Stegostoma tigrinum: one gene and its partners. The protein of the gene in region 3 interacts with the protein of the main gene of each other region in a pairwise test. Links are inferred from orthologs where the notes say so. Each region holds a gene or a part of one and is shown on either strand. Other genes may lie near its edges.

Region 1 (7,080 bases), on a different chromosome or scaffold from region 3:
GATCTCAAGAGGTCCACGCAGAAGCAAAAATTAACAGGAACACTGCTTGTGGCTGTGTAACAATTTACACCAAGTGCAACATAAAATTACATAGATAATTTGATATTTTATAACTTTGAAACTAAATATCTTCACTTCATAGAGCGAAGAGCTTCTGTCTTTGTCTGACATTGAATCATAGAATCCCCACAGCGTGGAAGCAGGTCATTTGGTATATCAAGTCCACACCAACATCCAGGCCGCATTCCCCCTTCCCCATAACCCTACATTTCCCATGACTCATCCACCTAGCCTGCACATCCCTTGATGTTATGGGCAATTTAGCATGGCCAATCAGCTCAAGCTACACAAGGAAACCAACACACCGGGAAGAAGCCTATGCAGCCTTGGGGAGAACGTGCAAACTCCACCATCCTAAAAAGACAGCTATGAGTGGTAGAAACCAGGAAAGTAACGAAGACCAAAGAGAACTTGACATGCATATTCCTGAAGGTAGTACTGCAGATAAGTAAGTCAAATTAGATATTTGCTTTTATTAGCCAAGGCACAGAGTACAAGAGCAGTGAGGTTATACTCAAATTGTATAACATGAGGATTAAGCCACAATTGACGCACTGTATGATGTCTGATCAACACATTAGAGGAAGGGTGTTGTTCTGCTTGAGAGGATGCAGGGGATACTTAGCAGGATGGTGCAAGAGTGTATATGAGGAAAGACTGGACAAGTTGGAATTATTTTCCTTCCAGCAGTTAAGGTTGAGAAGTGACCTGATAGAGGTGTTCAAGATCACGAGGGACATTGATAGGAAGGTATTTCTTTCCATTAGTACAGAGAACAAAAACGAGGGGGCATAGATTTAAGGTAAGAGGTTGACGGCTAAGTTGACGAGAAAATTTCCTGGAACGAACTGCCTGAGAGGGTGGTCAGATCAAAAACTCTAACATTTAAGCAGTATTTAGATATTCATTTGCACTGTCAGAACCTCTAGGGCCATGGACAAATATGGGATTAGTGTAGTCAGATCTTTGTTGACTGGCACATACAAAATGGACCAAATGGCCCCCTCCTGTGCTATTACATCAGATTCTAAAACAAACCTCTGCATTTGTTAACTGCTAAGGTTACAGCCTGAATTGGGGAGCTCTTGTGATGTAGTGATAGTGTTCTTACCTCTGAGCCAGAAGGATTGGATTCAACTCCCAACTGCTCCAGAGTGTGTCATAACTTGTCTAAATGGGTTGATTACAAGTATCTACAGCCCAAGTTAAATCAATATATATCAAGTGTATGCTTACTGGGTGCATTTAACAATTGTGTATTCAAAAGTGTAATCATTTTTAAAGTCATGAAATAATCCTTTTCTGAATCATTGGTTATTGCTCAGACAACACATAACCTTTGCTGAAATCTGGCACCATGTACTTCTAAACTTATTTGGAAGCCCCATTAAAAATACATTTACAGTTCTCAATTACCATCTGTGCCGTAGTTGATTCATCTTCCTTAGACTCCTTTTCCCTTAAAGCAAGAAATCCCCAGGGTCCTCTTATTTGCCTCATCTGGTTCCATCTTCAGATCAATGACTTACACTGATCATTCACCCCCACTCATGCTTTTCATGATTCTATTCTACGTTCAATGTATGCCAGTCCTTCAAAAGTCCAACAGATAAATCATTTTGCTATGAAGCAGCATCACTGAACCAATTTATTTTTTCAGTTTTTTAAAATACATACCATTTCCTCAATCTCTGGCAAGTATATATTGTACTGCTACCATGTTTTTGATTTTTCATCCATTGTCCTTGTCTGTCAACGGTTAACATTGGACTGCACAGTTCTTGTGACTTCAAACAGCAATCCCACATCATTTAATGTAGGAACCTACACTGTCATGTTTCAAACATTTATTACTTTCCCCTCAATGACACAATAAAATCAAGACTTCAATTCTGCTGTCAATTTAGACAGTTCCTTCCGCCACCTTTCTAATATTGCTGAAAACAACAAGAGGCCCGTTCACTCTCAAGCGTGTTTCTTTTTTGTGCTATGATTCCACCCTAGTGTTGCTTCAAACTTTGCTTCCTGTTTCCTAAGTATCAAACACATGCCCTACAAAGTATTTTTCCTTCTGATGAATGCTTGTTTTCAAAACTGTGGAATTCTTTTTTTAATTCCTTCGACAAGATTTTGAAAACTAAGCTTGGCGTCACTTAATTTTGATTTACCTTAGTGGTGTCGATAGGTAGTATGGACTTTTGGCCTACACCCGAGTTTCCCATTAACAAATATACTTGCCTATCGGATTTTAAAACTGTTTATTACTGAAGGAAACAGAAGCAGTATTTATACTTTCCACGGCTGGGAAGTAGCCATTATTGACTCTTAATTAATTCCTTCAGAACCTGAAACCAATTATAAGATTAAACGCGATTCGTTTGGTTTGAGGTGCAGGATTTCATACGGTACATCATCAATAACAAGATGCTACAAATTTTGGTTCAACTTGCTGTGTGAATCGCATTAACGTTCCCAATGTACGATTTGACTCGGTTACAATACAGCAATACCAATGACAAGGATACTACCGGTCTGCTTTCGAGGAAACGAGACACTGGTTGGATTTTCTACCGTTCGTCTCATACAGATGTGTCCACGTCTAGAAGAGCACCACGATTCAAGACCAGAAAGACCCCGCCCTTTACTCAACACAAGCGGTTACTCGGGAATTTGTGTGGCTCCAGAGAAGAGGAGTAACCTGCACTGTGAGGAAACCTCCTCCAACTGGAAGGAAGCCTCAGGAATCAGAGCCCCAGCGGCCGGGGAGCGTCGCCATATTAACAAATAACGTTCGTGAACAGACCCACCCCGGAGCGGCTCGCCGCTCACACACCCCAGCCCCATGATCAGAGCTCATTGTGAAAATAAACGCCGCTCCAAACGTCATGACAAGAAGCCCGGAGCCGTCTAGATTACTGATTATCGTTGTTTACAAACTTACCACAAGGGCTGATTCTTGCTCACGGACAAGCGAGCTGACACCTCGCGAGAGTTCAACCCAGGAACCCTCGGCCCTACGTCACCTGGTCACATGACACATGCAGGGTGGTGGTGTCAGGTGAAGGGTCATCCATTAGTACGCAAGAAGCTGTTGTGGGTTAGTCGATGGTCAATGGAAGGACTCTCGGGGATTAGTTATTGGTAACATGAGAAGAACGAACCACTATGTGCCATTTCATACTGACCGGTGGGAACCAATTTTGGTCAATTCATGGTAAATAGTGTGGTATAAGGAACAACTGTGATCACAGTACACAGCACCTACCTGCCTTTCACTACCAGAACTGTTTTAATGGTCTACCAGCACCTACGCTACTCTGACAGACAATTTGTCATGTGTAGTCATCCTAACTGGAAATTCTGACATATCCAAATGGAACCATAGAAAAGTAGTCTGTCAACATGGCAAGAAAAAATGAGCTGTGTTCCACCAGCAGACATCAAAGATCATAGAATCTTTATAGTGTGGAAATAGGCACTTCGGCCCAACCAACCCTCACAGCATCCCACCCAGACCCATCTCTCTATAACCCACCTAATCTGCACATCCCTGAACACTATGGGCAATTTAGCTGAGCCAATTCACCTAGCTTGCACATCTTTGTTATGTGGGAGGAAACCAAAGCACCCAGAGGAACCCCACGTAGACACGGGGAGTCCACACAGACAGTCACTTGAGGGTGGAATCAAACCTGGGTTCCTGGTGTTTTGAGGCAGTAGTGCTAACCACTGAGCCACCGTGCTACCCAAATTAGCAAACAATACGCTGTTTGGCACAGGTGGGGAATATGGAACAATAGGTGAGAATGCAAGTTGTGAGGATGACACAAAGTTTACAGAAAGATATAGACAGATTAAGTGAGTGGGCAAAGACTTGGCAGATGGTATACAATGTGGGGCAAATGTGAGATTATGCACTTTGGTGCAAAGAATAGAAGAGATGAAATTTATTTAAATAGAGACTGCAGAAAGCAGCAAAATCAAGGGGGTCCCTGTGCCTGAATCACAAGTTCAATCTTGATAAGTAATAGGAAAGTTAAATGGACTGTTGGTCTTTGTTTCAAAAGGAACAGAGTGTAAAAACAGGAAAGTCTTGCTAAAACTATAAAAGGCACTAGTCATGCCATAAACAAAAACAGAAATTGCTGGAAAAACTCAGTTGTCTGGCAGCATCTGTGGACAGTCACAGTAGTACAGCATGGAAACGGCCCTTTGGTCAGAACCGGTCCATGCTGACCTTGGTGCCCAGTTCACTAGTTTCAATTGCCTGCATTTGGCCAATATCCTTATAAACCCTTCCCATCTATGAAAATATCCAAATAATTTTTGAATGTTGCTATTGTGCCCGTCTCAACCGCTTTCTCTGGCAGCCCATTCCATATACACACCACTCTGGGTGAAGAAGTTGCTCCTCAGGTCCTTCTTAAATCTATCCCCTCTTACCTTAAACCTATGCCATCTAGTTTTCAATTCCCCATCCCTGGGAAAATATGTATTCATCCTATCTATGCCCTTCATAGGACAGTACAGCACAGAACAGGCCCTTCAGCCCACAATGTTGTGCCGACCATTGATCCTCATGTATGCACCCTCAAATTTCTGTGACCATTTGCATGTCCAGCAGTCTCTTAAATGACCCCAATGACCTTACTTCCACAACTGCTGCTGGCAACGCATTCCATGCTCTCACAACTCTCTCTGTGTAAAGAACCCGCCTCTGACATCCCCTCTATACTTTCCTCCAACCAGCTTAAAACTATGACCCCTCGTGCTAGCCATTTCTGCCCTGGGAAATAGTCTCTGGCTATCAACTCTGTCTATGCCTCTCATTATCTTGTATACCTCAATTAGGTCCCCTCTCCTCCTCCTTTTCTCCAATGAAAAGAGACCGAGCTCAGTCAACCTCTCTTCATAAGATAAGCCCTTCAGTCCAGGCAGCATCCTGGTAAACCTCCTCTGAACCCTCTCCAAAGCATCCACATCTTTCCTATAATACGGCGACCAGAACTGGATGCAGTATTCCAAGTGCGGTCTAACCAAAGTTTTGTACAGCTGCAACAAGATCTCACGACTCTTAAACTCAATCCCCCTGTTAATGAAAGCCAAAACACTATATGCTTTCTTAACAACCCTGTCCACTTGGGTGGCCATTTTAAGGGACCTATGTATCTGCACATTCATGATTTTATATACCTCATTCTCCTATGTTCGAAGGAATAAAGTCCCATCTTGGCCAAGCTCTCCCTATATTCAGGCCTACTAGTTCTGGCAACATCCTCGTAAATATTCTTTGCACACTTTCCAGTTTAACTATGTCTTTCCTCTAACAGGGTGACCAAAATACTCCATGTGTGGCCTCACCAATGAGTTATACAACTGTAACATAATGTCCCAACTCTGATACTCAATGCCTTGACTGACGAAGATAAGCATGCTGAATGCCTTCTTCACCATCCTGTCCACCTGTTTTGCTGTTTTGAACAAACTATGTACTAGTACTCCTCAGTCCCTCTGTTCCACAACACTCATCAGGACCTTACCATTTACGGTATAAGTCCTACTGTGGTTTGACTTTCCAAAGTGCGAAACCTCAAATTTGCCTGTATTGAATTGAACTCCATTTGATCAAGATCCATCTGTAATTTTCGATAACCTTCGATACCAATAATACATCCCAATTTTGAATCATCTGCAAACTTACTAATTATACCTTGTACATTCACATTCAGATCTTCCCTACTTGCTTTCCTTATTTCCTTAGCATTCATGATTCTCTGCTCAGTAAACACTGAGGAAAAATATTCATTAACAATCTTACCCATTTCCTATGGCTCTACATGTAAATCACCGTGCTGATCTTTAAAGGGAGCTACTCTCTCCCCAGCCACCCTTTCACTTTTAATAAAGCTATAGAACCTCTTGGGATCATCTTCAGTCTTATCTGCCAGATCCCTCTCATACCCCTTTGCTCTTCTGATTTCTGTCTTGTGTGCTCCTACATCTAGGGATCCACTTGAGGCAATAGTTTAAATCCAACGTGTGCCTTCTTCATTTTCCTGACCAGAGCTTCACTATCCTTCGTCAGCCAGGAAAACCTAAACCTGCCAGCTTTTCCCTTCACCCTAACAGGGATACACTGCCCCGGGCTCTTGATATCACACTTTTAAAAGCCTCCTATTTGCCAGTTGTTCCTTTTCCTTCAAACAGACTCACCCAATCGACCTCTGCTCGATCCTGCCCAATGGTCCCAAAATTAGCTTTGCTCTGGTTTAACACCTTAACCTGTGGATTGTCCTATCTTTACTTTAACTATGTTAAAACTATGAGAGTTATGCTCACTGGACCCAACGTGCTCTCCGACTGACACTTCAGTCATTTGTCCAACCTTGTTTCCTAACAGGAGGCCCAGTGTTGCAACCTCCCAAGTTGGGTCCTCTATGTATTGATTTCGGAAACTTGGACACATTTAACAAATTACACTGTGGATGGCTAAGTCAATACAGGGGAAATTAAAACCTCCAACCAATACTAGTCTAATATTCCTACAGGTATCTGCAATCTCTCTCCGTATCTGCTCCTCTAGTACCCACTGGCTATTTGCAGGTCTATAATACAGCCCCAACAGAGTGACCATCCCCTTCTTGTTTCTAAGTTCTAACCATATGGTCTCATTTGATGACCACCTAAGAATATCCTCTGTAAGCACTGTTGTGATCAAGTAATCATACTTTAGACCATAAGACATAGGAGCAGAAGAATGCTGTTTGGCCCGTAGAGTCTGCTCTGTCATTCAATGAAATCACGACTGATCTGATAATCCTCAACTCCACTTTCCTGCCTTATCCCCATAACCTTCGATTCCCTTACTGATTGAATATCTTCTATCCCAGCTTTGAATATTCTTAAGAATCCATTATTCATAATAATTCTTAATAATTTCAGGTCCAGTGTTCACACTTCAGAACACTAGTCAGACCATGCCTAGAATACTGAATAGTTTAGGTCCCCTTACTGAGTGAA
Region 2 (7,494 bases), about 7.8 Mb from region 3:
TCCCTCTCAGATACATCCCTAACATCAAAGCACTGGTTATTGCTAGTCAGCTGCACTGTCCAGCTGCCTGACACAATACTTCCAGAGTGTGTGGGACTGTACCACAGTGAGAGTTAATGCGTGTGGGACTGTACCACAGTGTGTGTGGGACCCCGTACCCCAGTGAGAGTCAGTGTCTGTGGGATCCTGTTACCCAGTGAGAGTCAGTGTGTGTATGTGGGACCCACTGCCCCAGTGAGAGTCAGTGTGTATGTGGGACCCACTGCCCCAGTGAGAGTCAGTGTGTGTGTGGGACCCCGTTACTCAGTGAGAGTCAGTGTCTGTGGGATCCTATTACCCAGTGAGAGTCAGTGTGTATGTGGGACCCACCGCCCCAGTGAGAGTCTGTGTGTGAGTGTGTGTGTGAGTGTGTGTGTGTGTGTGTGTGTGTGTGTGTGTGTGTGTGTGTGTGTGTGTGTGTGACCCCGTTACCCAGTGAGAGTCAGTGCATGTGTGGGACCCACTGCCCCAGTGAGCGTCAGTTTGTGTGTGGGATCCCATACCTCAGTGAGAGTCCGTGTGTGTGTGGGACCCGCTGCCCCTGCGTTTGGCTTCTCAGAGCAGAAATCAGAATTAATCAACCCTTTTGAGCATAAATTTGTTTTCATTCAAGCTCAGGTTCAATTCTAATATTTAGACTGTTCACAGTATCATCTTAGGTCTTCTAACAGTTGTGTGTAAAACTCTCAATCTCTTTCAGGAGAAGCCCTTATTCATCATTAAAGGGCCAGAAAAGCCATTCAGTCTATCAGCTCAGCTTCAGTTCTGTTCTGGACAGTGCACTTTCAGGGCAATGTGAAGGCATTGGAGAGGTTAAACAAGGAATTTATCAGAATGGTTGCTGGGATGAGGAATTTCACGTATGAAGACTGATTAGAGAAGCTCGGACAGTTCTCCTCAGAGAGGAGAAGGCTGGGAGGAGATCTGGATGATGTTCAAAATCATGGGGCACCCAAACAGTAAAAGGAAAACCTGTTCCTCCTCTTGAAAGGATTGAGGACATGAAGGCCACAGGTTTCAGAGAATTTGTGAGAGAAGCTAAAGTGGTTCGAGGATAATCTCGTCTGTGCAGCAAGTGCTTCAGATCTGCGATGGAATGCCTGAGAGGATGGTAGAGGCTGGTTCAAACAAGGCTTTACAAGGGGAAATCAAATGGTTAATTGGAAAAGGAGCAAAGTGCAAGGTTACAGAAAGAATGACACTAGGTGAGATATTCATTCAGATAGTTGGTGAAGAGACAATGGCTGAAAGGCAAACTCCTGAACAGGATCTGTGTTGAGATTCAGTCTGATCTGTAGCTGATGTCTATTGACCCACTCTGCCTCTGGTTGGATTCACCTGAGAATCTCTGACTGCCTTTAACCCTTGAAGCCCCAATCAAATCCATGTGAATCTTTGCCAACACTCTATATACCTCCTGAGTTGCACTGTTCAGAAGTAAACACAGTACTGCAGATGTGGTCCAACCAAGGCTCTGTTCTATTGGAAACACAATTTGATTCCAAGCTGCTTGAGATAACGGTAAACATTTAAGAGGATAACGCCTCTTCATATTATCCCAACCGAATCTTAATGTATATTTTAATCACCACAACCAGATGCACTTGCAGTCAGTCCCACCAAGGGGATATGAGCTAAGTTTACACACTGTCCTTGCAATTTAACCCTTTCACCCTCTGCATCATTCCTAAAAATACCTCTGAAAATGAGACTAATATAAATTAAACATGCACCAAAATGATTCTGCACTTACCATTTTTATCAGCTCTTCTGAATATCTAGAGACGTGGAGAAAACAGAATTTTAAAAGATCAATTTCTTCGTTCACTCAGCAGAATTTCAAACCGAAATCATTCACTCTGAATGCCCCCAACTTGCCTGCAGTATTTACTGTTACATTACAAGCCAGGCAATAGAGACATAGCCAAAACTATCGAACAGACACACACTCTTCGGAATTTAATGTTTCTATTCATACATCCATCTAACTTTCATATTAAATTCACTCCCTGCCAACAGATTGCCTCTCTTTCTGTCTCACTTTCCTTCCTTCTAATTCTCCCTCTGTTTTTCTGCTCTCTTCTGTCTTTATCCATCTATTTCCCTTTGTCTCCTTCTTCCCTCGCCCCCCCCCCCCCGCTTTCTGCAGTTTCTCTCTCCGTCTCTGTAAGTTGCTCTCATTATCACTCATTGTGTTTCACTCTCTGTTTCTCACTTACTGTTTTGCTCTCCGTTTCTCTCGCCTCTCTGTAGGTCGCTCTATTCCGCTTTTGCTCTCTCCCTGTCAGCTTCACTCTCTCTCAATCCCTCCGTAGCCATTCCGTGTGTGTCTGTCTCACTTATTTTCTTTTGCTTTCCCTCTCTTGTCCCTTACCGTTTCTCTCTCTCCATCGCCTTCTCTCCGTCTCTGTCCCTCGCCCCTCTCCCTGCATGCCCCTCTTTCTCTCTCTGCCTCTCTGTATCCTTGTCTCTAACTCATTCTCTCTGTCTCTGCATGTCCCTCTGCTGGAGTTCTCCATCTCTCTCCCCATCACTTTCTCGGATATTCTGTCTCGCTCCACCGCATGCCCCTCTCAGCTTTCATCCTCGGGCAGCTCCTTCCGACTCGAGCCCAGTCCGTTCCTATTGACTCTATCCATAGACAGTCCCACCTGCCGGGGAAGGATTCCGCAGGGCGGATCTGAATCAGTCCCTTGGTCAATTGAGGATGGGTAACCACTAAAATATGAAAGTTGGTCTCTGACTCCAGGCGGGGAAAGGAAGAGACAGAAAACTACTTACGTCCAGGATAACTGAGATGCCTTTCTTGGTGTCCGCGGCCACCTGCTGCCTGGAAGGTGCCCCTTCAGTTTTCTGAGATTCCCTGTCCCCGAACTTCTTGTCGCTCATTTTGGTGAGGACCCAGCGCAGGACGCCGTCCAGCCCCCTGATACCGCGGTGCACAGGCGGCTGCGTGTCACGGAGTTGCTGCTGGACGCTGTCCCTGCAGTAGCGAGCTGCCTGATCACACATCTTCCTCACATCCTGCAGACCATCCCCTTCCCCTCACACCCCTCCCTGCAACCCCCCCCCCCGCCCTATCCCCTCCCCACGCACCTACCACCCAGCCCCCCAACACCTCCGCCCCCCCCCCGGGTTCCCAGCAGCTTCAGGCCGGCTCCAGCAGCACTCCCCCCGCCCCCCACCCTCAACACACACACACACACACACACACACACAGTCTATCCCCCTCCCCGTCACCGCTCACGCACTCAGCAGCACCGAGAGCTGGAGGCAAACTGTAGGACGTGTAGAGAAAGAGGAACAGGCCGGCAGAGAGGGGGGAGATGCAGAGGGGCGGGAGGAGAGGAAAGATCAGGCCGTGCTCAACACTCACAGACACTGTCCTCCTCCAACTGCTGCCCCGTCAGCTGTACACAGGGCAAATCCAGCCAGGGAGCCTCCTCAGAAATAGCCCCCAGGTTGATACCACTGTATGTATACAAAGAAAAAACTGTGGGTAAACTTTGTCAATGTCTTTAAGCTCGCAATTTTGTGTTTGTGTGTTTCTGACGATGTGTGTGCGCGGGTGTGAATGTGTATACATTGTGTCCAGAGTGTTACAGATGTAACATCTGTGTTGTGAATTTGCGTCAGTATCTGTCTGTGCCTGTGTGTATTTGTGTCTCCAAATGTATGTTTGCATGTGCCTGTGTACCCATTTGTGCATGTGTCTGTGCATGTGCCTGTGCATGCATGCCAATGTGTGCTTGTGTGTCTGTGTGCATCATTGTGTATCCATCTATGCTTGTGTTGTATCTGTGTCTCTGTATCTCTGTGTGTATGTCTGTGTCTATATGCCTTTACATGTGTCTGTCTGTGTGTGCCAGTCTATGTGTTTGTACGTGAGTCTGTCTGTGTCCATCAGTGTATCTATATCCACATCCATGTGTATACATTGAATAGACGCATGCACCCACGTGAGTATGGGTGTGACTGTGTTACCGTGTGTTTGACCGCTGTGTGTAGTGCTGCATGGACATGACTGAATGTAACAGAGTCTGTGTGGGTGCATGACTGTGTCAATGTGACTCTGCCTGTGTAACTGTGTGTGTGACGAGGCTGGGTGTGTGCCCATGTTCATGGCACTGTACATGACATGCATGTGTGTGTGACTGTGTCAGGGTGTGTGACCATGTGCCTGTGTGTCACTGTGTGCATGTGATGCCAGCAGTGTGGATTCAATTCCCATACTGGCTGAGGTTACCTTGAAAGTCTCACCTTCTCAAATTCTCCTGTCACCTGAGGTATGATGATCCTCAGATTAAACCACCACCAGCCATCTCTGTCTCATGAGAGAGCAGCCCTATGGTCTGGTAAGACTATGGTGACTTTTCCTTTATCTGCATCTGTTTGTATGTATCTAGCTGAAAGTGTGTATGAGTAGGCCTATGTTTGTGTCTGTGTGTATGTGTGTGGGTGTGTCTGTCTGTTGATGTGTGTATGTGAGTATATCTGTGTCTATACATCTGGATTTGTATAAGTATATCTTTGGACGTAAGTGTATCTGTGTCTATGTATATCTGTCTCTGTACATGTGTGTGTGTATCTGCATGTGTGTTTGCATGCATTTCATTGTGTTTCTGCATGTATCTGCGAGTATGTCTTTGACCTTTGTGAGTCTGTGCATGTGTCCGCGTGTTTGTATGTGTGACTATGAGTGCAATTGTGTTTCCCTAGTGTGTCTGATTTGTCTGTTTGTATTTGTATGTGTATCTGTGCCTGAGGTTGTGCTTGTCTGTGTCTGTATGTATGTGTATGTGAGTCCATATGTGAGAGTGTGTGTGTCTTGGTACATGTTTATGCGTACCTGTGTGTTTCTGCAGATATGTATGTGTGCGTGTGTCTTTGTGCATATTTATGTGTACCTGTGTGTTTCTATAGATATGTACGTATGTGTATATCGGTATATTTGAATCCATGTATGTATCAGTATGTCTGAGCGTGCTTGCATATCTGAGGCTTTTTATGTTTTCCATATGAATGTGCAAGTGGGTGTGTATTTGTGGATGCATGTGTCTGTATGCAAGTATTTGTGTGTTTGCCTATTCGAATGCATGCATGTGTGTGCATGTGTGCATTCCCGTGTGTGTGTTTGTGTGTGTGTATTTCTAAACGCTGAGATCCTGAGAGGTTGGCCAGCCCACTGGGACCCTGGCAGAATTTAATCTTTCCAAGCCACAGGGATTAATTATTTTCCTGGCCGAGTCTGTGAATGCAGACTGAGGATGGAGCATGGATCTTCCTGTGAGTGTATCTCATTCAGCAGTCAGTCCTCAGAGGAGCTTAGCTGTACCGTAGGTAATGCTGCAATAAGATTGGTACAGAGCAGGAAGCGAAACAGCAGGAAACAGGACAATTGATCACTAACTCTGATGCTATGAGAGTACGATACAAATTTATCACCGGCAGTGACAGAATCGGGGGTGAGGGGGAGGGGGCGTGATATTGGATCAGCCTCCTGTTCTCCATATTACCTGCTATTCAGTGGCATCACAGAGAGTGCAATTAAATATGGGCAGCCACAGATGACTGCAGGTTAATCCTATTCTCCAGTTTGTCACTGCCCAGGACATGTACCTCCCCATTCACATAACTGAAATCAGCCAATATTAACCCCAGCATCCACTTCATTAATCACCAATAATGTCCATAGCACTCCCCACATCACCACAATCCCACAGATTCACCACCCTGTCATGCCCCTCATGTAAGTTTCAGTAAGGTCAAAATTCTATATTCCAATAAGTACAGGCCCAATCTGCTCAATTTCTTCTCATAGGACGGTCCCTTTGTAGCTGGTGTCAGCCCAGTGAACCTTCACTGTGCTTCCTACAATGCCTTGATAGCTTTCTTAGGTAAGGGGCCCAAAATGCTCAACATTATTGCAGCTGTGGCTTGGCCAGTGCCTTGCATAGTTTTAGCAAAACCTCCCTACTTTTATAAGAGAACAAACAAACGAGAACAAAAGAGAGGCACAGCACAGGAACAGGCCCTTCGGCCGTCCAAGCCTGTGCTGATCATCATGCCCCGACTAAACTGAAAAACAAACCTTCTGCCCTTATTCAGTCGTATCCTTCTATTCCCTCCCTATTCATGTAATTATCCAGGTGCCTGTAAAATGTCACCAACCTATCTCCTTGCACAACCTCCTCTGGCACTGCATTCCAGGCTCCTACCACTCTCTGTGTGAAAAACATTCCTCACACATCTCCCCTGAACTTTCCTCTTCTCACCTTGAACCTGTACCCCCTCGTTACTGAAACTTCAACCCTGGGAAAAAGCCTCTGACTATGCACTATGCAGTATTGTGTAGACCTCTATCAGGTCTCCTCTCAGCTGCTGTCTTTCCAGTGAAAACAAACCTAGTCTTTTTAACCTATCCTCATCACCAATGCCCTTGAGACCAGGCAATATCCTGGTGAACCCTCTCTGTACTTTCTCCAAAGCTTCCACATGCTACTGGTAATTTGGCAATCAAAACTGCACACAATACTGCAAATGCAGCCTAACCAGGATTGTAAATGGTTACAACATGCTTCACGAACTCTTGTGCTCCACACCAAGCCATTGAAGGCAAGCATGCCATATGCCTTCTTAATCACCTTGGCTACCTGTGTTGCCTCTTTTAGGGAACTGCAGGCCCAGATCTGTCTGTATTTTAATGTTCCTAGGGGTTCTGCCATTTACAGTATAATTCGCACCTAAATTTGACCCTCCAAAATGAATCTCCTCAGATTTGTCTGGATTAGACTCCATCTATCTTTTCTGTGTCCAAGTCATTAATTTAACTATATCCTGTTGTACCTTTTCACAATCGTTGGCACTATCAGCAACTCCACCAACCTTTGTGTCGTCTACAAACTTACTAATCAGACCACCCACATTTTCATCCAGATCATCTATATACACTACAAACAATAAAGGACCCAATAATGATCTCTGTGGAGCACCATTAGTTACCTGGCTCCATTTTGAAAAACACCCTTCCACCACTACCCTCTGTCTTCTATGACCAAGCCAGTCTTGTATCCATTTGACCAGCCCACTCTGAATCCCATGCAATTTTAGTTTTTTGTACCAATCTGCCATGGGGGACTTTATCAAATGCCTTACAAAAGTCCACATAAACTACATCAACAGCCCTTCCCTCATTCATTATCTTTGTCTTCAAAAAATTCAATTAGATTGGTAAGACATGACCTTCCCTGTACAAAAGCATGCTGCCCGTATCTAACACACACATTTTCTTCCAAATGTGCATATATGCTGTCCCTCAGTACCTTCTCCTGGAGCTTTCCCACCACTGATATCAAGCTCACCAGTCAATAATTTCCTGATTAACCCTGCTTCCCATCTTAAGCAAGGGAATAACACTGGCTAATCTCCAGTCCTCTGAGGCCTCACCTGTGGTCA
Region 3 (7,184 bases):
AATGTCCAGCCACATTCCTAAACAGGAAGGATTCACTCCCTCAAAGTCCAGCTCTTTTGTGACCACAGGCAACAGTTCCTGCAGGTGTATACCTGCTATCCAGGGAACTGTCAAAGTATTTACATTCCACACAACTCCCAGGTTCCTCAAATGTTCACTTCTCAATATCATCTCCACAGCTGCATTATGTGGTTCCCCCAGAGGTACTTCTAATGACCCTAATATGAAACTCTCAGACTGATGCTAAGCAGGGCTACAATGCCATCCATGCATTCACGAGGGCATTCTTCTAATAGACAATTAATATCTGAAAATGCTGTGATCCAAGATGGACAAGTTAAATCTGGGATACAATCATGTTTGATAGGTCACACTTTCTTTATTTTGGTTAATGTGGTGCACAGTCATTGAAATTTGGTCACATAAAACTGCAGCCTTTCTTCATCAGAAGAACACAAAAGAAACCAAGCAAAAATTAGAACGCAGCTTGAAAGATCTTAAAACACACAGCAAAACCGATTCTCATCCTGTTTCTTAACACACCTGTTATAGAGACTCAAATCCAGAGAAATTATCTCTCTATATCAAATCTTTAAGCTTGACTTAACTCATTCTCCTCAGTCTCTTCCTGTGAATTGTTAAGTAATCTTATATGAATATTCACAGAACTGAGAGCTTAGATTTCTCAGCTTTGAATAATCTGCACATTTATCAAGAAACACTGCTGGTTTACTCGTTTCACAAAATGATTTTTATACAGAGGTAACTGTGCTTTCCATGAACAGTCTTATACTCATTTTGAGGAGAAAAACTATATTTGCTTCAGGTCTCCTTCAAATAGCACTCAAAGCTTTCAATCTCTGAGTTTTCTAAGCTAAAATCAATCCTTGATTATCTTGAACCCAAAACAAGCTAATGGCCTTCAATATTTACCCATCTGTCATAAAAACAATCGATCATTATGCTCCGGGGCATCCTTGCTCTCTTGCACATATTGGATTAGATCTGACTGAGTTATTTTTTAAACCCTTCAGTAATCAACCCCATATGCCACAATTTGAAAACTGAAACTCTGAAAATGACATTAATACAAACATACAAACCTAATACCTTTTATCATAATGTTTTTTTTTCTATTCATTTTGTGGGATGTGGGCATCGCTGGCTTGCCAACGTTTATTGACCATCCCCAGTTGCCCTTGAGAAGGTGGTGGTGAGCTGCCTTCTTGGACTGCTGCAGTCCACCTGCTGTGGGTTGACCCACAATGCTGTTAGGGAGGGAATTCTAGGATTTGGACCCAGTGACACCGAAGGAACGGTGATATATTTCCAAGTCAGGATGGTGAGTGGCTTGGAGGGGAACGTGGAGGTGGTGGTGTTCCCATATATCTGCTGCCCTTGTCCAACTAGATAGAAGTGGTCGTGGATTTGGAAGGTGCTGTCTGAGGATTTTGGTGAATTTCTGTAGTGCATCTTGTAGACGGTACACACTGCTGCTACTGAGCATCAGTGGTGGAGGGAGTGAATGCTTGTGGATATGATGTCAATCAAGTGATCTGCTTTGTCATGGATGGTGTCAAGCTTTTTGAGTCTTGTTGGGGCTACACTCTTCCAGGCAAGTGGGGAGTATTCCATCACATTCCTGACTTGTGTCTTGTAGATGGTGGGCAGGCTTTGAGGAGTCAGGAGGTGAGTTACATGCTGCAGTATTCCCAGCTTTTGGCCTGCTATTGTAGCTAATCTGTCAATGTGGTGAGTCCAGTTGAGTTTCTGATCAATGGTAACCCCCAGGATGTTGATAGTGGGGGATTCAGTGATGGTAACACCATTGAATGTCAAGGGGTGATGGTTAGATTGTCTCTTATTGGTGATGGTCATAGCCTGGCAGTTCTGTGACACAAATGTCACTTGCCACTTGTCAGCCCAAGCCTGGATATTGTCCAGATCTTGTTGCATGTGAACACGGACTGCTTCAGTATAGCTGAGGAGTCACGAATGGTGCTGAACATTATGCAATCATTGGCGAACATCCCCATTTCTGACTTTCTCATGGAGGGAAGGTCATTGATGAAGCAGCTGAAGATGGTTGAGCCTAGGACACTACCTTGAGGAGAGCCTGCAGAGATGTCCTGGAGCTGAGATTATTGACCTCCTACAACCACAACCACAACCATTTCCTATGTGTCAGGTACGACTCCAACTACTGGAACGTTTGCCCGTGATACCCATTAATTCCAGTTTTGCCAGGGCTCCTTGATGCCATACTCAGTCAAATGCAGCCTTGATATCAAGGGCTGTCACTCTCACCTCACCTCTAGAATTCAGCTCTTTTGTCCATGTTGGAACCAAGGCTGTAATGAGATCAGGAGCTGAGTGACCTTAGTGTAACTCAAACTGGCCGTCACTGAGCAGGTTATTTCTGAGCAGGTATTGCTTGTTAGCACTGTTGGTGACAGCTTCCATCAGTTTACCGACAATCGAGCGGAGACTGATGGGGTGGTAATTGGCCGGGTTGGATTTGTCTCTGCCTGGATGATCAGAGGGCGCACTCTGGAATTCGCCAGACAGAACTGTGATTGTTTGCTGTGTACTAAACAACTTAGCTCATTTCTGAGATAGTAAGATCTGCTGATGCTGGAGTCAAAGATAACACAGTGTGGAGCTGGGAGAACACAGCAGGCCACGCAGCATCAGAGGAGCAGGAAAGCTGACGTTTCGGGTCGGGACCCTTCTTCAGAGGAAGATTTCTGAAGAAGGGTCCCAACCTAAAACATCAGTTTTCCTGCTTCTCTGATGCTGCCTGGCCTGCTGTGTTCTCCCAGCTCCACACTGTGTTACCTCTTAGCTCATTTCTGTTGTGAGAATGGAGAAGAGAGAACAATGGGCCATCCAACTGCCTCCTGAGACGAGAAAGAAAAGGAATCTGATCGAGCTTTCGCATGGCCCAATGCTGGTAATGGCTAATTATGGCATACAAGCATTTGTGCCTTCAAGAGAATGCTTGTTTCATACCTCTAAAACATTAAGATACTTTATTTGCATTAATTGTAAGTTAATTTGTTTCCTTGGCATCAATATTTCCTGGTGAGTTACCTGACCAGAGCATCAGCACAGAATTTGCAGGATTACAGGGGAATTGAGCTTTTACGAGTCGCCCAAGCCTCGATTTTCTCATTGACACCATTGTCAGTAGTGCTCTTTTTAAAGTCAGTCACTCCTAAGTTGGTACTGATTGTGGAACTGGAAATGGGGGAACAGAAGTAAATTGCTAATGGCATACAGTTACAACTTCAGGTTTAAAATCTATGGATTCTACAATGATTGAGGTAGTAGCTGGGTCTGGCTGAACTAAGGTTGGGTAGATGCTATGCATCTTGGTTTCATTGAAAATCCAGCAAGCAGGGAGACAGTGTTTACAATGATATACATAAATGTTGGGAAGAACAAAAGAAGAAAGTGCCAGTTTATTTACCCTCTCCAGGCTTTGGGCTATGTCCACTGTGCTTAGTCCTGTTCCAGTAAATGTGTCTTTCTCTGAACTTCAGCATGTGGCTTACAGTTTATCCTTATTCCAGCCCCATAACTTCTGCAGCCGTACCCTGCTTTGTTTATCCAATATTCTTCTCCCTGCCCTAATGCAATACATTATTTTCCAAGCCTTTGCGTTGGCCTTGTGCCTGGATTGTTGCCCTTCCAGTTGCAGAATTAGATGGATTCCTGTTAAACAAAGGAGTAACAAATTATTGGGGATAGGGGGGAATGTGGAGTAATCAGATTTGCCAAACTTTGGGGCGAGCTCGAAGCGCAGAATGGCCTAGTCCTGCTCCTCGTTTGTATGTTTGCACGCATCAGTGTTTACTATTTTAGTACTTTTTCTAATCTCCGCTTGTATTCTTCCTGGGCCAACATTATTACCTTTGAATTTCCCCAATACCTACATCATTAATTTTCCCTTTGTCCTATTACTATGTGTTATGACTGTCCCTATCTTTTCCATGTTTAATTTCGAATTCCTGAAACTTTTCCCGTTTTATCAGCGACCCGCCTACTCGCTGAATGCGTCGCCATTGATTGGTCGGTGCCGGGCAGGAGCCTGAGCCTGATTGGTTGAGTCTAGCTGACAGATTCTGCGGCAGTCCTGTTCGGCTCGGCTCGGCTCTGGGACCCGGGGAGCAGCGGTGGCCGTTGCGGGAGGGTCGCTTCCAGCCTGAGCTAGGCTCGGGCGCGGTGTGCTTGGTGAGTATAATGCTAATTTCCTGAACAGGGAGAAGTGCATTATCATCCTCACATCGGATAAGGGGCGGTGCAGGCTACAAGACACCTATTTGATGGAATGTGGTCGGTAGGGATCTACCCCTGTCTGCAGCGTCGTTGGGGGGGGGGCGTTATACCTAGGCTGAGCTTCAGCGGCAGCCGGGGTGGACTGGGCGTTTTGGGTCACAGCGGGGGTGCCTCTCCTGTCTGATAGGAGACCAGAGGGAGAGTGCTGTTTGTTTTTAAAGCCCTGCAGTGGTCTCCAGGTGCCAAACATGAAAACACGGCAGCGGAGAAAGCAGCTGCGTTAGCCAAAGACGGGGGTGGGTGGGAGAAAATCATTTGTCAACACAGATTGAATCAGGAGCACCTGACCAGAGAGAGCGAGAGAGAGAGCCAGGTCATTCTCACCAGAAGGACGTTGTTGCTTTCAGCAGCACGACGTTATAACACACAAGTCACCGGTTTCCCCCTCTTGCATTCTCTCAGGGCGAGAGCCTTAACCATCGGCCTGGCGACTCCGTTCAGCCGGCTGGTTCCGTTCTGTCCGAGGTGCGGATTTAACCCATGAGTAGCCCAGCTGCGAGCTAACCCTGCATTGCAGCTCTGTGGACTAACACCAGCTGGTAGGCATTAGTCTGAATGAATTCTGTTTCTGCAATTTTAGTTTATTAAGCTTGCGTTTTGATGTTTTTTTAATTACTAAGTGAAGGTATTTTCCATGGCTCGAATTCTTTCTGTAGATTGTAAGTAAGGTTAGGAGATGGTGTTTTCGCTCAGGCTACTGTACAGGCTGTTTCCCTGGCAACAGCATCCTCCTAGTGTCATTATGTGCACCTGTACAATTCCACTGCAATGCACAATGTGACCCTTCCAGCATTCCAATGGGCCTCCTTGAATTTGAGCCTGGAATGTGGGGTCTAGTGCATGTACTATTAACTAGCCCTTGAATTTGCTACTTTTCTTTGTCTGTGGTGGAAAATCATGGCAGATCCCTCTCCTGCATTTCTGGCATATCAAAGGTAATTGATCAAATGGTAGTAAATAGTATTGAGGTACAGATCAGCTATGATCTTATTCAAATGAGAAATAGGCAGAATGGGCTTGATATTTATATATTTATGTGAATTAAACTTTTTTGGTCATCTTATTGCTGCTGCATGAAGATATTTCTTGTCACAATTAAACCTGTTACACAGAGTAATGAGTTTAAAGGTTTTGATCAGTTTATTATTTGGTTTTGGGGTTGGCTAGATTGAGCAGAAAAAGTGCTGTGCCTGCTCTTGACCTTGTCATGTTATGTTGGTTAGTGTGGGAGGTACTGTTTCACCTCTGGGGCGATGGTATCAGTATCCTGGGACTGTGGGATGAGACGGTGTTTGCTAAGGAAGCCTTTCAGGTGTAGCAGGTATCTGGGAGTCTTCCTGGGGCAACCAGGTATTCAGCAACCACGGGGTTACGTACAAACCAACTCCACACCACCTCCCTTCTAGCATTGATTGTTACCTTTGTACTGAGGGAAATATGCAGTGGGGACAAATGGGACAATGTTGGTCAATTTCTATTCAACACTCCCTTTGCCAAAACAGTTGTGTTAGCTAGTTTCAGAGATAACCGGGTACATCCAAAATCATCATGCCCCCTAACCTGACTGCATTTAAATACGTGTAGCTGTGTTCATTGCTCAGCTGAATTGCCCTTTTATTTCTCCTCAACTTCAGTTGTGCCTAGTTCCACAAAGTTCTTCCTCTCTTCATCTTCACTGTATTGAAACTAAAAACCATCATGCACAGCTAGTGCCTCCTTTTACCAGGAGTTCAAAATGGTGAAGCCTTTACCCTGTGTATGTTGTGCTGAGAAACCCACTCATCTCTGACTATGTAACTGGGTGGAGGCATTTCATCTCTCAGAAATGAGGGTACCATCCTGGCCAAAGTTTGGGTTTGGGTGATTTCCTGATTTCTTGTCTCATGGGTCAAATTCTTTTTTCCTCCTTTTAAACAGTTAAAATGCTGCTGACGCTTGTGATGTAATAACATTCTGTGGTTTGGCAAAGGGAAGAGTTCCATGCGGTGATAGATCAAATCTAAGTTATAGTGCTCACTTTACAGCCCTGAGTTGCTGGAATATGTTTTAGCACATGTGGAAATATGACATCCCAGTGGTACATGTGCTACAGTTGATCCTAGAGCAGTCTCCTGACCTGGTTGACAACACCTGTGTAGTTTATAACTACATTCAATAAAGCTTCACTCTCTGTCCTCTGTTTTACCCTATTCAGCCTGATCATCTCCAACTGAGACTGGAAAAGCCCCAAATTTCTTCAGCCTGTTCTTGTTGGTATTGCTTCACTGGGGTAATGCTGCAGGCACCTCGGGCACAGAGTGATTGATTTATAAAGCAGGAATTATGAGTTGTTCTCAGGTGCAGTTGGTTGGCAGTAGCAACACTGAAACGTTTTGACTCATTAAAGGGTAACACATTTGCTGTTGGTGTGCATGCTACAAAATGTCAGTAAGGAGCTGGAGTCCGTGGTATTTATACCATAAGCATTCATTGCAGAGAGAGAGGCAGACATTTGGTTTACGTATGGCTTGAAGATGCTATGCTGGGTAAGATGACAAAGCAGAATAACTGCAGTATTGTTGATGTTACTTCCCAGGCTTGTGTTCAAACCTGCCAAGCAGGGTCTAGGCCCAAAACGTCGGCTTTCTTGCTCCTCTGCTGCTTGGCCTGCTGTGTTCATCCAGCTCTACACCTTGTCACTTCCGATTCTCCAGCATCTGCAGTTCCCACTACCTCTGAAACAGGGAGCAATCTGGTTGCCAGTACAGTGATTGTTTAAATTGACTGAACGGAAGTTGCTGCGTTATGTTCAAAATCCTGCACTGGCCACTTGTACCATGTGCTGCGTGCACTTGATTCTGGTT

What was found. The genes of interacting proteins can lie anywhere in the genome.
Region 1: the proteins of kifc3 (region 3) and atf2 interact in binary tests that used the Homo sapiens proteins (3 or more experiments, as listed by UniProt). The two-hybrid records come from large-scale screens. The link is inferred for Stegostoma tigrinum from reciprocal best matches to the Homo sapiens genes KIFC3 and ATF2.
Region 2: the proteins of kifc3 (region 3) and necab2 interact in binary tests that used the Homo sapiens proteins (3 or more experiments, as listed by UniProt). The two-hybrid records come from large-scale screens. The link is inferred for Stegostoma tigrinum from reciprocal best matches to the Homo sapiens genes KIFC3 and NECAB2.

What each region holds. Positions count from the first base shown.
Region 1 is NC_081360.1:47,008,759-47,015,838, reverse strand, and holds the start of atf2 (cyclic AMP-dependent transcription factor ATF-2), read right to left. Parts: upstream 3,074-7,080; 5' UTR 3,002-3,073; intron 2,937-3,001; exon of another isoform or gene 2,589-2,936; intron 1-2,588. UniProt on the Homo sapiens protein: Transcriptional activator which regulates the transcription of various genes, including those involved in anti-apoptosis, cell growth, and DNA damage response.
Region 2 is NC_081369.1:3,295,977-3,303,470, forward strand, and holds the start of necab2 (N-terminal EF-hand calcium-binding protein 2), read right to left. Parts: upstream 3,074-7,494; 5' UTR 3,052-3,073; coding exon 2,821-3,051; intron 1,818-2,820; coding exon 1,793-1,817; intron 1-1,792. UniProt on the Homo sapiens protein: May act as a signaling scaffold protein that senses intracellular calcium.
Region 3 is NC_081369.1:11,092,555-11,099,738, reverse strand, and holds the start of kifc3 (kinesin-like protein KIFC3), read left to right. Parts: upstream 1-4,129; 5' UTR 4,130-4,236; intron 4,237-4,665; exon of another isoform or gene 4,666-4,798; intron 4,799-7,184. UniProt on the Homo sapiens protein: Minus-end microtubule-dependent motor protein. Involved in apically targeted transport. Required for zonula adherens maintenance.